2 linked regions of the Tamandua tetradactyla genome follow. The protein of the gene in region 1 interacts with the protein of each later gene in a pairwise test. Links are inferred from orthologs where the notes say so. Each region holds a gene or a part of one and is shown on either strand. Other genes may lie near its edges.

Region 1 (7,986 bases):
CCTCTGCTGAGACAGCGAGGCGATTACATAGTCTCTGCCTGAGCACTTCTCAGTCCAAACTTATTTCACCTAAAAGAGGAGATGGCAGGACAAGAAGAAATTGCAATCAGACATCCCAGGCGCTTTCCTCGGGGTTCCTGCAGACTCCCCCTCCTCCTCCTTCACGAAGCCCCCATCGCTACCCTCCGAGCTCTCCTGCCGTCTCCCAGGTCACTTAATCCTTCCTGGTTCTTCCAAGAAAAGCGAAGTTACTTTTCTGGAATTCCCTGCGGAGCTGGAGCCGTCTACGCGCCGGGAGGTTGCAGGGGCCCCTCGGGGATGAGCGCGCCGCGCGGGACGCAGTGGAACGGGAGGGGGCGTGCCAAGCAGCCCAGAGTGTGCCGGGAGTGCGGGGGAGGGGAGGCGCCGGGTTCGCCAATGTCACGGTTTAATATTTATCCCTATATCATCGTATTGTACTGCTACCCTCCCCGCCTCCGGGGGCCTGGACGTGCAGGAAAAGGCAGTCCTGAGGTGGCGGGGGGCGTTCAGGGGTCATGCACAAGCTGGTGTGAACGGACTGTGGGTCCACCCGTGTGGGGCCGCAGAATGTGGGTGGGGGCTCCCAGGACCCTGTAACCCGATGCTTAAGAGAAGGGGTGGTCAGACATCTGCTCGGAAATTGCTTCCTTTCTTTCTACTTTCAGTTTTTCTATGAGGAGACATTTAAAAACGACTCGCACACACGAATGGTCTTTTGGGGGTAAAGGAGTCTAGCTAGAAACGAATTTTTCTTTCAACTCAGAGGACCTCCGTGGTAGAAATCCAGAAAGGGCAACCCATCAGGTTGGGGAGGGCTTGGGCTCCCGCTACTTGAGGGTGGGCGAGCAAGGGGTCCTGGAAGGGGAAGTCGCTCAGGGGCCGCAAGGGTGGGAGAAAGGGGTTTTCACTACATTTTCGCATGTCGCCTCCTTAAAGAATAACTTCAAGAGAAAGGTGGCATAACCATGACTCGCCCTAAGTTTTCAACTGATTTCAACCACAGTAAAACTCGACTTCCCACCCACCTCCCCCAAAAGTGGGGTGGAAGCGGGCCAGGGTGTTAATGCTGTGTCTGTGGGGATGAGAGGGGTTGCGACCTCCGGGTCGGGATTCGCGGACCTTTCTCCATTTCCAAGACGGTCCCTGAGGTAGGTAGCTGAGGCGGCTGCACCATACGTAACTCCTGGGCTTGAGGCCCGGTCGGGTCTGCAGCCGAACGCCCCCGCACAACAAAGCCCGGGGGAGGGGGCACCCAACCTCCCCTTTCCCTTCAGCTGCAATCCCGGGCGCAGGGTATTCCCTATCCACCACCGCGGTGGCCTCGGTCAAACATTCCAGCCGCGTGTCCTTAATTCCTGGGACACCTCGGAATTACCTGCCTTGCAAACCGCCGGCGGGGAATTTAAGAAACAACAACCCGCGCAACCCCACTAGGTGCATACGGCGCTGACTGCGACCAGGACAGAGCCCCTCACCCTCGCGCCATCCGGAGCTTTCCTTAAAAGGTGAAGACGAATACTGAGGGAGCCGAGGAACGAGCCACCAGAGCCCGTTGGGGCCCTAAGCAAGGGCGAGGGCCACACAGGTAGCGGGGGAGCCGCCACAGGCGGCTCAGCCAATCCCTCCCGCAACCTCCCCCCACCCCCGCAAGTCCAGCGGGAGGCTCAGCAGAAAAGGAAGCGTCCGGGGAGGTTCCACCCCCGCAGGGAACTGCGCCCCTGCCCCCGCCCGGTCCCGCACAGCCCGCAGCAAGCGCTCTGGCTCTGTCCCCCGCGCTCCCCGGGCCGTCGGCTTCTGCGGAGAAAAACGGGAGCAACAGTGCCTTTTCCCCCCCTCTCCTCCTCTTTTTTTTTTTTTTTTTTGTTGTTGTTGTTGCTTTCCCACGCTGGCTGAATGTGACTTGACCCCATTTCAAAAAAGTTTGACATAGTGCTTCAACATTTCCGCATTCCTCTGCGACTACAAAGGCTGCAGCCGCCTCCTTCTGCTTTCTGTCTCTGCTCCCTGTCTTCACACTCAATGAAATCCTTCATGTGCCTCTCCCGAAGCCTGCCAAGTACCCCAAGGGTCGCCACCAGCGCAGCGACAAAAGGGCACACCGGGACCGCGACTCCTGCGTGTGCGCACACGCAGTTGCGCCCACGTGCAGACGGGCGGGTTGCGGGGCCCGAGCGCTGCTCCCATGGGGCTTGCGTTTTAACTTCGATATTTTAAGTTATAAAAGTAAAGTTTGAAACTAAAGCAAACGGCCTGCATGCAGGCTGGCTGCGTTCACTCGTCTAACTGTACACAACACGCCCGCAGGGGTTGCCAGCAGGAAGCCTGCGTTAACATTTATCTCGTGGTGGGGAAGGTGGAACCCATACCCACACCTCCGTGAGCTGGAGAGAGAGCTTCCGTGGGGAAATAAATATGGGGTACCGAAGCATACTCTCCCGCATGGAGTCCTCAGAGGCAGAGCATTCTAAACTTTACTTGTGGGTTATTATGTGAGTGTCGGAGTGGAGTTCGAGTTCCGTTTGGATAAGTTTGTGTCTGTGTGGGTGTTTGTGGAAACGGATGTGCATAGGCACAAGATGTCGGTGTTGGGGGGTATTCCTAGTGTGGGTTGTCCCGCTTTCGCCAGATTAAGAGGAGTTCCTCTAGAGCCCCAAAGCCCCCGTAACCTACCCGGTGTCGGTTCAGAAGGGGTTAACCAAAGCAAGTCCAAGGACACCCAGACCCCCTCCGTCACCCCCACCCCTTCTCTCCCCACCCCGCCTCCGACACTGGCCCAGGCCCGGTAATTCCCCCGGGACCCTCCACCCCGCAGCCCACCCACCCGAGTGCACAGCCCCTCACCTGAGGAGCCTGGCCGCCTCGGGCCTGCGGAGGGACCTGCGTGTGTCAGTCCGACCTCCGCACGTGTCCACGGTTGCGCGGAGCAGGTAACTCGACTTCGGGGAAGGCGTTACCAGCACTTTCTCCGGCGAGGGGGTGGGCACTGCGGCGGAGGGCGGAGGGACCGCGGAGGGCGCCGCCCGCGTCGCTTGCCGGGGGCTGACGGGGGCCGCGCGGCTCCCGCCGGGGCTCGCGACTGGAGCCGGGGAAGTGAGGGGTGGTCGCGCGGCTGGGCGGGGACCTAGGAGGCCGCCCGCGCCGACACCCACGCGGCGGCGAGGCTGGGGGCTCGTGGCGCCGTGGCAAGCAAGTGTGCAAATTAAAGCCTTCCGGAGGGAGGGGAGGTGGCCAAGCCCCGGCTGTGCCCCGAGCCTCTGGGTTCCGCAGCCTTCGGCCCCGAGCGGTAGCGGTGGTAGCGGGGGTGGGGGTGGGCGAAAATTTCCGGCTTTCACAGTAACTGGAGTGGGGGACCCAGCGGCTGAAATTAGAGGCGTGAGAGGGAGAGGGTGGGATGTGTCGTCCGGAGTCACCGGAGTTTCCAAAGCCAGGGTCGCTCAAAGTTGGGGTTTTGACAGGGTGAGGCGGAGATAGCATCAGTTTATGTTGTGGACAAATGGGAAAAACACAAAGCAACCAACAGTAATAATTAGGGGCCGTGGGAGTGGTAAATACTAACACTTTCCAAGAAACTGAAAAATCAGACCAAAAAAATAACTCTTCGTCTCTATTTAAAAAAAAAGTTTGGCAGGACGCCTTGCAGAAAAGAAAATACTAATCTGCCCAAGCACTTTTCACTTTCAGCATGAGCTACATTTGTTTTGTTTTCCTTTGCTTCCTTTCGGCCGCACAAAGCCCTATCTTTTCCTTTTGGACTGAGGATATGGTTTGGACATTGTCAGGCACTCTTGTGGTTAACGATCTACTTGAAGGGGCTGGCTGGTTCACAATTAAGTGGTTAGCAACTGCTGAAGGTTCACTAAGGTATTTCTGAGGAGTTAAAGACTAGAATTTAGTGCAAATAACAGAACTGCAAGATAATAGGCACACACACAAAGAGGGAGAGAACGTGATTCGGTGGGTTCTCAGTTTAAACGCATTATTGGAATTCTGAAATTTGAAACCTTCTAAGAAACGAAGAACGTGTACTTTACCTGCTGAAAACCGTAATACTATTATTTCAGGTGAAAATGAGATTTTTGGGGGGAAAAATTTTCAAGACTTTCTACATGGAGTAAAAGAAAACTTAAAATATAGCTGTTTTTGGGGGAAAATTCATTGTTTTATATTTGTAGAATATTTGAAACTCTCTTAAACATCTTAAAGCAAAGCTTTTTTTTAAAAAAGATATTTCAGTGCTTTGTGGAAAAATTAAAGTCTGCAAAATTATGCTTGAATTGGAAATATTACCTCTATAAATATTCTTTGAGTTTTGGGATTAAACCATGTTACTAATTTCACAGCAGATTACATTTTTTTGCCTTAGTAAAATTGATTCTATACTAGTGTGAAGTAACAGGTTAGGTAAATAAAAGTTGATGTATTTCCATTAGCAAACATTTTTCAATGCTTTATAATAATTTTTTTTCTTAAATAATGAAAATGAAAAATGGCATGTCTTTAAGCTTAAGCAAATTCATAAAGTGCATTTTGTGTTTAGAAGCATACTTCTAAAATAAAATCTAATTTCTGAACAAAATTTGTATTTGTAAAGATCTTTATAATCTCATATACCTTAGAGACTTAAGAAGGCAAATTATTAGATTTTGCATTTATACAAAATGTTGGATCATTTATTAATCACCAGACACAAATGAGAACCCTCCATTTTGGTAATTGCCCATACTTATCATGCCTTTTAAAACAAAATTTACTTGCTGGTAATTAAGACATTTATATAATCCACAAATATTTGTCACAAAATAGTCATAGTAACCAGCATATGATTGCAAAATTGTATTTGAGTAAATAATTTAGTTAGAAAAATAGTTAACTATAAATATCTTTAAAATTAAAAGAAAAGTATCTTTTCTACATTAGGTTGCATTTTTTAAAAATTGAATTTGTCAACAACCACAGTTGGATTGGAAATTCCCTGATTTAGATTACTAGGACACTCAGACATGTAAAAATCAATGAAACTTTATTTATCTAAATACGCTAATATCCAGTGTTGATTTTCTTCCTCTCATCTGCTTTTTCTGATATTACTTATTCATGCTAATTTCTCATTGTTCTCTCTCTCTGGTTATGGTTCACATTAAATCTTAGTTAGTTAAAGCTTTAGACTCAAGGAGGTTTTACAATGGATTGTATAAAATTAGTAACCACCGGATTGTTTTTGTTTATGAATAACTTCCTCTGTGGATAACAGGTTATCATAACAAAATTTGTGCAAAGTTTATAAACTTTGAACCAAATCCTTACTCCCTTGGTTAGGAGTCTTCCATGAATGAATACAGAGCATTCAAGAATAATGATTTGCATTAGTATTTCCATACCACATAACAGATATTCTAAAGTTGCAAATCATTTTACAAGTTTTTAAAACTTAAAATTCATCAGTGTATTTCCAAACATGCTATTGTAGCATACCCTGAAACTTTTTTCAGTGTCAGACAAGGGATGTATTTCATGTGTAAACATTTTTATATCAAATATCTTTACTTTTTTGTTTTTACTGAAATAAAAATAATTTTTAAAATCTGTGGTACATAATTAATAACCTTGTTTGAGAAATTAGTAATTTTAAAAAAATTATTATTTGTATTGGTGTACTTCTAATTCTATAGCATGTCTGATTTATATTGGCTATTTGAATTTATAAAATATATTTTTCAGAAACTTGGGAAATGCAGTTTTGCTATCATCTAATATGCCATAATTTTAATTGGAGGACCAGGTAAATAAATACTTTTTGTCTGTAAAGATCTATTTATTGTTTTGATAAAAACATCTCTGGGTTAATAATTTTGAAATGACTTCCCCTCACTTGAATATGTGTGTCAATATTATCTTTGTTAAATAATTACAATGAAAAACTTTAATTTTTAACATAAATGGTATAATTCTGTTCATTTCAGTGCATTCTTTTTTTGATGAATCTATGGTTCATCTTGGAACCATAGATGTTTCCAAGGTGTTTTTTAAGGTTTTACCTCAAAATATATTGAAAGTTTGCTAAATATCCTAAGACACATCTGTTATCTTATCAACTTTTTCCAATCTTAAAATTCTGAACTCTAAATAATTTTTTTAAATATCTTTATTGACAAATCTTCACATACATACATTCCATACATGGTGTACCATCAGTGGCTCACAATATCATCACCTAGTTGTATATTCATCGCCATAATCATCTAAATGATTTTTAAAGTTGTCTTCTAAATAAATTACTTTCTGATAACTTGGAAATTATCTGGAATTTTTTTTTAAGTTGCATGTGATCTAGTACATTACAGTTAAGCAGTAAAACTTGAAAAGATTTGGATATCTTCTGTGAAGGAAAATAATATATAGGGTAGTAGCTTATAAAATTTAAGGAGAAAAAAACAGACATTATTACCTCTTAGAACATTCCGTTTTCATGGATTCTACTACTCTATAATTATCACTGTGCAACGTGTCACTGCTATGTTCATATTTGTTTGTCGTCATTTTTTCTATTTTTTCCCTCTGATAGGCATCCATACCTTCATTTTCCTTCATGGACATATGTGCGTTTCTTTGTGAATATCTGTATAATCTTGGGTTATGGTCATGATATGTTTGAAACATGTTCTTAATGGCCTTTTGATCATCTATATTAGAATTTTGAATAATCAGGAAAATAATTATGGAAATATAAAAGATGATAATTACATTAAAATATCTACATTCCTTTTCAGTAAACACTGTCCTATAATTTTCACTGGTTTCTAAAATTTCTTTTTTAAGATGATACTTGTATCTTGACTGCCTACTTGGCCTAAGAAGTCTGTTGCCATAGCTACTTTTGGTTGAACTAAAAGGTGTGTACATATTTTACAGAAACCATTCAGATGAAGCAGTGAAGGTACAGCGCAGTCAGGGGGAATGATGATAAGGTGGAATCTGGGAGTTATCAGGAAAGAAAAAGAGAGACACCTTGGGGAGAGGCTTCTGTGAACAAGTAGGGCAAGTGAAGGAAGCACATCTTGAGGCTGTGGGGCCAAGAGGAGCAGCCTTGGTGCTCTAAGTATGGCGTATCCAGGCAACCTGATTCTTTCAGAATGAATTGCATTCTATGTCTGTCCTATTTTGCAATTATGTCTGTCTTAGTAAATGAGCTTATGTAGTACATGTATCCGTATTTGTGCAATTCTGTTTTACGTTGTCCTGTTACGGGTTTTTCCTGAAAATAACATGGAATGGAATTCTTTACAGAATTCTTTCATTGACTAGAAGAAAGTATATAATAGCATAGTTCTGTGGATCAAGCATTTTACTAAAAACTGTAGAGAAGGTCCGATTTTTACTACTATACGTTTGTTCAAAGTTACTCATATCTTCATACCTCTAGTATCTTGTTTGGCAACTGGCAAATATTTTATATTCAATAAATGTTTGTCAACAGAAAGGTTGGCTCTGCATCCCTTAGTACCTCTTGTTTGGACTACTACTTTCTATTTACTTTAGGAATATGTTAGGATAATTTTTTACATATCCCAGAAAAGTATTTTAATAAAATTTAAGAATCAATGATTACTGATTTCAGGACCTCAGAAACATGCCTCCTCTATTTGCAATTCCCTTTCCTCCCCATTTTTAGCCCTCTTCTCTGAATCCTACCATCCTTTCAAGGCCCAGTTCCTTTATAAAACTTTTGAGATGTCCCTCAGCTGGCAGACATCCCTCCTGCACTGAACTCCTTAGGGTCATTCACTTCCTGCCTTATTAGAAGCTTGATGGTCTGTTATACACCCTGATCTGCCTGAGAGCATCAGCTCTGCGTTTTTCCCTTTGGAAATCCTCCAGCACCTGGCCGTTGCCCTCTGGACATTGTTAGTGTTCAATGAATGCAGCAGTGGTTCTAGTCTCCCTCCGGGAGTGTTACTGAAAGAAGTA
Region 2 (7,548 bases), on another chromosome or scaffold:
AGGGTTGTGGGATCGGTACAGTTGGGCTCCGCGCCGTGAAGCAGCAGCAGCTCGGCCACGCGGGCGCTGCCCATCATCATGACCTGCGCGGGAGAGCAGAGCCGTCAGGGCGAAGGCGGGGAGAGGGGTGGGGCGGGTGCAGCGCGACAGGGACTGGGAACTAGTCTTCAGAGGTGGCTGGATTGGGGCCATTTAAACTAAATAGTTGTTTATGAAATCTCCCCCAATGTAGAGGCAAGTACAAGCCTAAGGTGTCTTGTTATTGCCCCCCGCCCACCCTTATGCTTCTTAGTCAATTTAGATTGCATTCCATGTTATTCTCCAAACTTGCGGAAACAGCTAATGACAAAGTGCTTATTGTCCAAAAGGAAAAAGAGAATTTTTAAAAATTTCCACTAGAACATGGAAAGCCATGTTGCTAAATTATTTATGAGTAGGAGTTAAGTTTTAAAGTCTTGTTTTTTCCCTTGATCCCCCTCCTACATAGTCTAGGCCTAAAAATATTAGGCAATTGATATATAGTTTTTAGAAGGTGGGATATTTCTTTAAAAGGAGAAAATAAGAAACAACTAAATTTAAAAAAAGGTTTGTACTGTTAGTTTTCATAGCAAATCCCCTGTGGAATGCCTTTGATTTTCACTGTCATGCATCTGTACTCATCAACGGATTATACTCTGATAATCTGAGCCAAAACTGGAGAGTTGGAGATAGAGGGGGAAAAACAAAATCAAGTTGTGCATAGTCTTATAAAATGAAAATAAATGATTTGTTTTAAATAAATAGGTAACCACTTTTAATGATGCTAATGTTAAAAATAAATGCTGACACGTTTAGTATGTAATATATATTTAATGCAACTTAACCACTGTGTTTACATTGCATAATTTCTGTAGGATTTTATAATGTTAAATAGTAAATATTTTGCTTGGATGGTAACAGTCAAATCTGACAATGCATAATTCAGAAAAAAAATGTTTTGGAGGAGTAATCCTATAGCATCCATTTGTGGACATGTAGGTTATGCAAGCATTTAATTTTAAGCAATTTTTGATAACTAAACATCTAAAATGGAGATGTTTGTTTATGTGCTGTAAAATGTACCATGTAATTGAAAGACAGCAGTCTTCTAGGTTTTTTTTTTTGTTTCATGAATATTAGAAACATCCATTTCCTCTCTTCAAAAGCCATGATATAATTCATCATTTCTATTGGTGATATAAAGGGAATTTTACATAGAGAGAAGAATAGAATAAAGTGATTCCTAGTATCTCAGAAAATGGTGAATTAAAACTATATATAAGAAATCTTGCCTTACAATTAATAAATTTGAAGTCTTTAAGAACCACTCTACAATATTTTTGTTGCCTTTAACCTATCCTTCATTATACCACTTTTCTAAGAATTGCTGTGTATTCAAAAGGAGTACACATATTTTCTTTAAATTCTGGAGGATTAGTAAGATTCCTTAATAATCACTTAGTTCTGGAAGGTAATGGTGAAGTAAATGCTAAATATGAACCATAATTGTTCAACATAAAGCACAAAAGCACTAACTTAGATTTTAAAGAAAATTTAAAATATCAGTACTAATTAAAGTGGAATTTATAAATATCTTTAATAATTGTATTTTAATAATTAAACGGATAATTATTTATGAGGGCACTCTGCCATTTAAAAAGGACCTAATAATTGTTGCTTCTAATCCAAGTTTTTGGTATAATAATTAAGCGAGAAATGTCTGGAAATTTTTATGGATAAAAAAGCGACATTTTTTTCTCATATAATATTCATGAGACTCTGCTAACATGAAATAAATAAATTAAAAGTTGTGGATGAGGAATCCTGTGTCCTTCTTTTGTATTCTATTCGTCTCTATGAGGAAAGGTAAACAGGGTTTAGTATGGCGACTTAAAAGTGAATGGTAAAATTGTTTTTCATGTGCTATGATTTGTAGAGTTCCTTAAATCCTATCCAGACTGTAGAATTTGTACTTTACTTATCTTTATCATTGAAAATAGACAAAACAAAACTGTCCCCCTTTACTAATAACTCCCTTTCCTTTTCCCCTTTCCTTTGCCCCTGAATCTATACCTTCCATCTTTGATCACGAGATGGCAGAGGGACTATTGTGAATATTTTTTCCACTATCAGAAAGAAAACCAAACTGAGGTAGTAGACTTTTCTATCCCTTTCTTTAGAATTTTTGCTGGGTGAAAACTTGCTTTACGCCAGCGTTTCACATTTTTAACAACAGACACAACTGCGCAGTGTCTACATCCGCGGAGATCTCGGTTCTAATCCCGGCGCACGAATACCTTGCCCCGCGCTTGAGCGCCGCCTGCCGGCGAGGCCCGACCGCCCCAAATACCTGGATCGGCCGCCTCCCGTAGCAGTTGACTCCATTGGGATCCGCGCCGGCTTCCAGGAGCTGCCGCACCCTCTCCACTTGCCCCCGCGCCGCTGCGTTTGCCAGGCCCACATCGTCGCTGCCACCACCGAGCATGCCCTTGTCCTCCTGGCGCATTCCGCAGCCCCCAGAAACTGCGCGGCCCGGATAATCCACTGTTGGCCGTGAGCTTCGCAACACTCCTCTTTTTCCCCAACCTACCGCGGAGCGCCTTCCCCTACTGGAGAGCTAAGCTTGGCTTCGACCCCTTCTCGCGTCCTTCTGCTGTTCGGGGTTCTTGCAGTGGCCGAGCGACTGGTATTTTTTAAAATTTTTCCCTGGCGCCCGAGAACCAGCCGATACGGCCGGCCGGCTGTTGGGACGCGGCGCCTGGCGTGGTGGTAGCTGAGCGCAAAGCGGCTTGGGCCGCAGAGTATAGGCACTCCGCAGCGTCTTCACTGCCTAGCGTCGCTCTCAGAGCCGGGAGCCCGTTGGGAATGAATTGCGTTCCCAGCTGGGCCACCGGCCTGACTCTCGCCACCCCCTTAGGCCCCGCCCCCTGCCGGGCTGGCGGGCGTGAACCTGTCCGGCTGTGGTCGCTTGGAGGCCTGGCCGGCAGCCGGTGACGTCACAGCCGACGGGGGTAGGGATGAGGGAGCCCTGGGTCCCGGGGACGCATGCGTCAGAGGCTGGCTTGCCCAGCCGCGTGGAAGGCGGGCCGCGCTGCTGGCTCGCTAGGTGTCCAGCAAAGCCAGAGGCTAAGTTTTTGAAAATGTTGACCCACTGTACTCAGCCTCTAATCTCCAGCAGGTGGAGCAGTGGATTTCTATTCCATACCAGCCCCAAGTCAGTGTGTTTCACTTTGGAGACATTTCCTAGTCTCTCCCTTGTAAAAGGCATTTTAAATAATTTCGTCTAACATGTCTCAAAGTGACAGCTCTGCACCTGTCATATAGGTTAAATTCAACCTCAAGCAGTACTTGCACATCACAGTTTCACATCTTGCATCAATCAGCAATTTTCTTTTAGGTGTGTTTTCATATTTGAATCAGTCAGCCATAAAAACACGAAAAATCCTGAGAATCTTGTTTTGTGTGATCATTTTTTTTCTTTTTAAATTTTCAACTATGGATGCAAGCCTTAGACAAAGAAAGAAAAGAAAAAGGAAAGAAAAATCAGTTTGAGATTGAGGATGGCAACGTGTTACACGAAAGAGTTGAACAAATACATTTTAAAGAATTTATGATCACATATTCATGATATTTGTACTATATCTTTGCACTATTACCTATTTACGCCCATCTTGGCAGGTATTTGATTGTTATTTATCGTGAGTAATAAAGGAAATTTATGCAGTAATAATGAAACAAAATAAAATAGGGTGTGGTGCTTGGCTGTCATTAAACAGGCTGAACCTGTCATTAAATCCTCTTCTGAAGATTTAAAGTCGATGTGCTTTTTTTCCCCTTTACTTTCTTTCTAGGTAAGTTTGAATTAATATATTCCTTGCTTTACAGATTTAAAAAGTACAGTTGATGCTACATGGAAATAGGTGAAGAATCACAGTTATGTGTTTTTTTTTGCCTCAAAACTTTGGTGAAGAACTACACAAGAATGAGTCTCTCCTAACACTAGACAGTTCTTATTATATATATATATAAACATATATATTGGTTTAGAATGCTGAGGAAGATAGAGTTTTAAAGGGAGGCCAATAGTTTGCTTACTCAAGAATGAGAAACTTCAAAACAATGCTTCTTCTAGCATGTTAGCTCTGATCCCTCCTCCTCCAACCCTGTATAGTATAACTAAGAGTTCTTTACAATTTAAAGACAGTGGGGCCCATGAAATGTTGATTATAGCTGAAGATCTACTTACTTTCATCAGGGCTAAAATCCACTTGGATAGGGAAAGGATGGGAGCAGCATTAAAAACATTTTTTTCTCTTTCCACTGTACCCCCATTTCTTAGTTTTCAGGTTCTTTTTTTATTACTCTACTCTTATTTGAGTTCTGTTTTCATCTGGGAAAAAAATGTCCTTTTTTTTGTTGATGGCTACCCCATGCATTGGTCTGGTCAGGGGAATAGAAGTCTGTTTCTTGGTGAAAACCATGGAGAAGCTGTTTTTGTTTTCTCTAAAAGACCAGTTCCTATGCACAGTGTATTGGGGAATCCAGGTGTCTAAGAAGAATAGGAGAAGGGAGAGGAAATATGGGCATTGGGAAGACAGAGCCTTTAAAATGGGCAGTATTGGTTCTTTGCCAGTGATCCTAAGGGACTTCATCTGACCGATGTTGGTGAGTGTGATGGCAAATGAAATTAGTCCAGAATATCTTCATCAGAATGAACTAGCTACTCCGAGACTCAGTGCACAGTGAAAGCAACTATGCATGTTGCTTTTAAAAGGAGTTGTGTTGGGACCTTCCTTCTAATGGAACAAGTAATTGAATTTAGTTCAACAAAACTGAATTTACCATGTCTTATTTTCTAGGAGTCTAAATTGAATAAATTATAGGTGTTAGTTTTCAAGAAACTCTCACTTGTGGCACTCAAATCTAATAAATAGAAAGGCTTAATGTACTGTGATAATTTTACTGAGATGTATTTACAGGGAGCTTTAGGAGTAAGGAAGAGGGGAATTTAACCCAAGTTGGCGAAGCAGGAAAAATTTCTTAGAGCAGATACAACTAAAGAGAGTCTTAAAGGATAAGACAGAAGTTAACTAATTCGTGTGTTATTGCCCTGGCTTTCTTTGAAATTTAACAAAAGGTTTAGGAAAAGACAGTCTGAGCCATTTTCTTAAGTGGTGGGCATAGCCAAAGTTTCTGAAATATAGAAACTACTTAGAGTTGATAAGGAAATGGCAGATAATTTTGTTGTTGTTGCTGTAGTTGTTGAAGGAGGCACAGATAGAATGATGAGTAAGGTAGGGAAAAGCCAACAAGTAGAATGACAGAATTTTCCAGGAAGCAGGGATATGAGCTTCATTGCCTGAGTTGACTGGAAAGGAACGTTGGCCAGGGAGAATGTTGTCAGGGGCGCGTATGGCTACTAGCACCACGGACAGCGCTCCCCTATTAAGCATTTCTGGGTGGTCCTAACCCGCAGGACAGGGAATTCTAGAGAAAGCTTCACACTTATTCTCCAAAGCCCTTTTCTTCCCTGACACTTAAAGGCAGCCATGTGAAGTTCAATGGAACTCTTGTCAAAACCAACCTGCTCAACCTTGTTTCCAAATATTATTGATTAATCTAATATTAAAAAGAAAAGAGGAGGAGTCACACTTGCACTGTATTCTGAGTGCTCTACAGGAACTGTTTCGTTTAACCTCTGTGAGCTATACATTAGTACAGTATCTCAATCTTACGGACAGGGCAAAAGGATAGAGAAGTTAAGTAACTTGCACACTAACTGTCATTATTGGAGGTTGAAGCCTGTGTGGCTTCAGAGCCTCTACTCTTTACATTACATAGTGTCTTTAGCAGCTGTCATGGTAGGCTTAACTGGGAAAAAAGCAATAAACAGACTTGTAATTATTTTTCAGCCTGCACTGTGTTTTCCAGATGGCTCACTGCACAGTACGCCCTTAACAGACTTCAAAGATGACATTTCACATGTAACACAATAGCACATTTGTCTTGGACAATAGAGTGAAATAATGAAATATTTCACCTCTCCCTGAAATCCAGCTGTCTTTAGGATGAAACACAACCTATTGTTAATGCTTCAAACACATTTAGGAGATGAACAAGATGGGAACATAGTGGGCAGCTGAAACTTGGAATTGTTACAGCCATGATTTTTTTAATACGATGGGTAATTTACAAGTGGGGAGAGAAAGAAAATGGGAAAATAGGTGAATTGGCATAGAATTTGGGAGAATAATGAAAAGGAAAGTAGAATTCATTCCAATCTTGTACGTGGGGCAAACCACTATGATAATGATGTTTACATTCCTAGTTGATGAAACTATATATGAACTCACTATACTAGAGTGACTAGAGTAAATTGAATGGTACAGAGGTAATGACATGCCTTTATTTAATTGCTTTTTGCTTATGGTTGGGTCTGAGATTGTTTCTAAATGAGAGAAAGAAAATCAAGATCATGCTTCAGACTTACTCAAAATACGCATGAGCCACCTCCTCCCCAGGAAGCTTGACTCTCTCCATTACATCAGTTGATAATTATTCCTGTAGGATCCATAGTATCTCCCTTTCTCCCTCCCAATATGTTTCTTAAATTTAATTGAATGGTGGACATAATTCATCATTTTAGTATATCCTTTCGTTTTTTCACAGATCACTTTTCACTTTCTCTTAAACAGTTATTAATAATTTATTTATTTAAAAAAGATAGAAAATAAGGTTAAAATACTGAAATTGGTATATATATATATATATATATATATATATATATATATATATATCATATCTCTTCTAATCTATAGATTCTTCTCTTCTTTCTTTTATTTCCTTGCAATTTGTTTGTTGAAGAAACTGGGTTGTTCAATTGTTTCTTGAATTGAAACAATTGTTTGCTGAATACCTCTGAATGATGACATTTAAACTATTTCTTTGCCACCTGTATTGCTTGTAAGTTATTTAGATCTAGCTGGATGTAATTCAGGTTCAATGTTTTTGCAAAAATTCTTCCTAATTGATATTGTGTACTTCCATCAAGAGGCACATAATCCAAATATCTATTTTTGTGATTCTAGCAGTCATCAACAATTATTTCTTAGATCCATTATTTCCTTAGTAACTGCAAAACAGTGATTTTCTAATTTTATCATTCTTTCTTCTTTTGTTAGTTGGACTACTTGTATAAAGTGAAAGTTTTCTTCATTAACTGCTTGGTTGCTGTCCTGGATTGAATCTATTATGTACCCCAGAAAAGCCATGTTTTAATCCTGATCCAGTTTTGTGGGGGCAGCCATTTCCTTTGATCCTGATTCAATACTGTTGGTCAGAAACTTTTGATTAGATTATCCCACAGAGATGTGACATACTCAATTGTGGGTGTGACCTTTGATTAGATGGTGATGTGACTTCACCCATTCCAGGTGGGTCTTGATTAGTTACTAGCATCCTGTCAGAGAGGAAACATTTTGGAGAGAGTCAGAAATAGCAGCTGACAGAAACTTCAGCGCAGAGCTGACA

The links.
Region 2: the proteins of CDK6 (region 1) and CDKN2B interact in binary tests that used the Homo sapiens proteins (3 or more experiments, as listed by UniProt). The link is inferred for Tamandua tetradactyla from reciprocal best matches to the Homo sapiens genes CDK6 and CDKN2B.

The regions. Positions count from the first base shown.
Region 1 is NC_135327.1:123,417,053-123,425,038, reverse strand, and holds the start of CDK6 (cyclin-dependent kinase 6), read right to left. Parts: upstream 3,008-7,986; 5' UTR 2,863-3,007; intron 339-2,862; exon of another isoform or gene 70-338; 5' UTR 1-69. UniProt on the Homo sapiens protein: Serine/threonine-protein kinase involved in the control of the cell cycle and differentiation; promotes G1/S transition. Phosphorylates pRB/RB1 and NPM1.
Region 2 is NC_135328.1:74,575,486-74,583,033, reverse strand, and holds the start of CDKN2B (cyclin-dependent kinase 4 inhibitor B), read right to left. Parts: upstream 3,015-7,548; 5' UTR 2,525-3,014; coding exon 2,369-2,524; exon of another isoform or gene 84-2,368; coding exon 1-83. UniProt on the Homo sapiens protein: Interacts strongly with CDK4 and CDK6. Potent inhibitor. Potential effector of TGF-beta induced cell cycle arrest.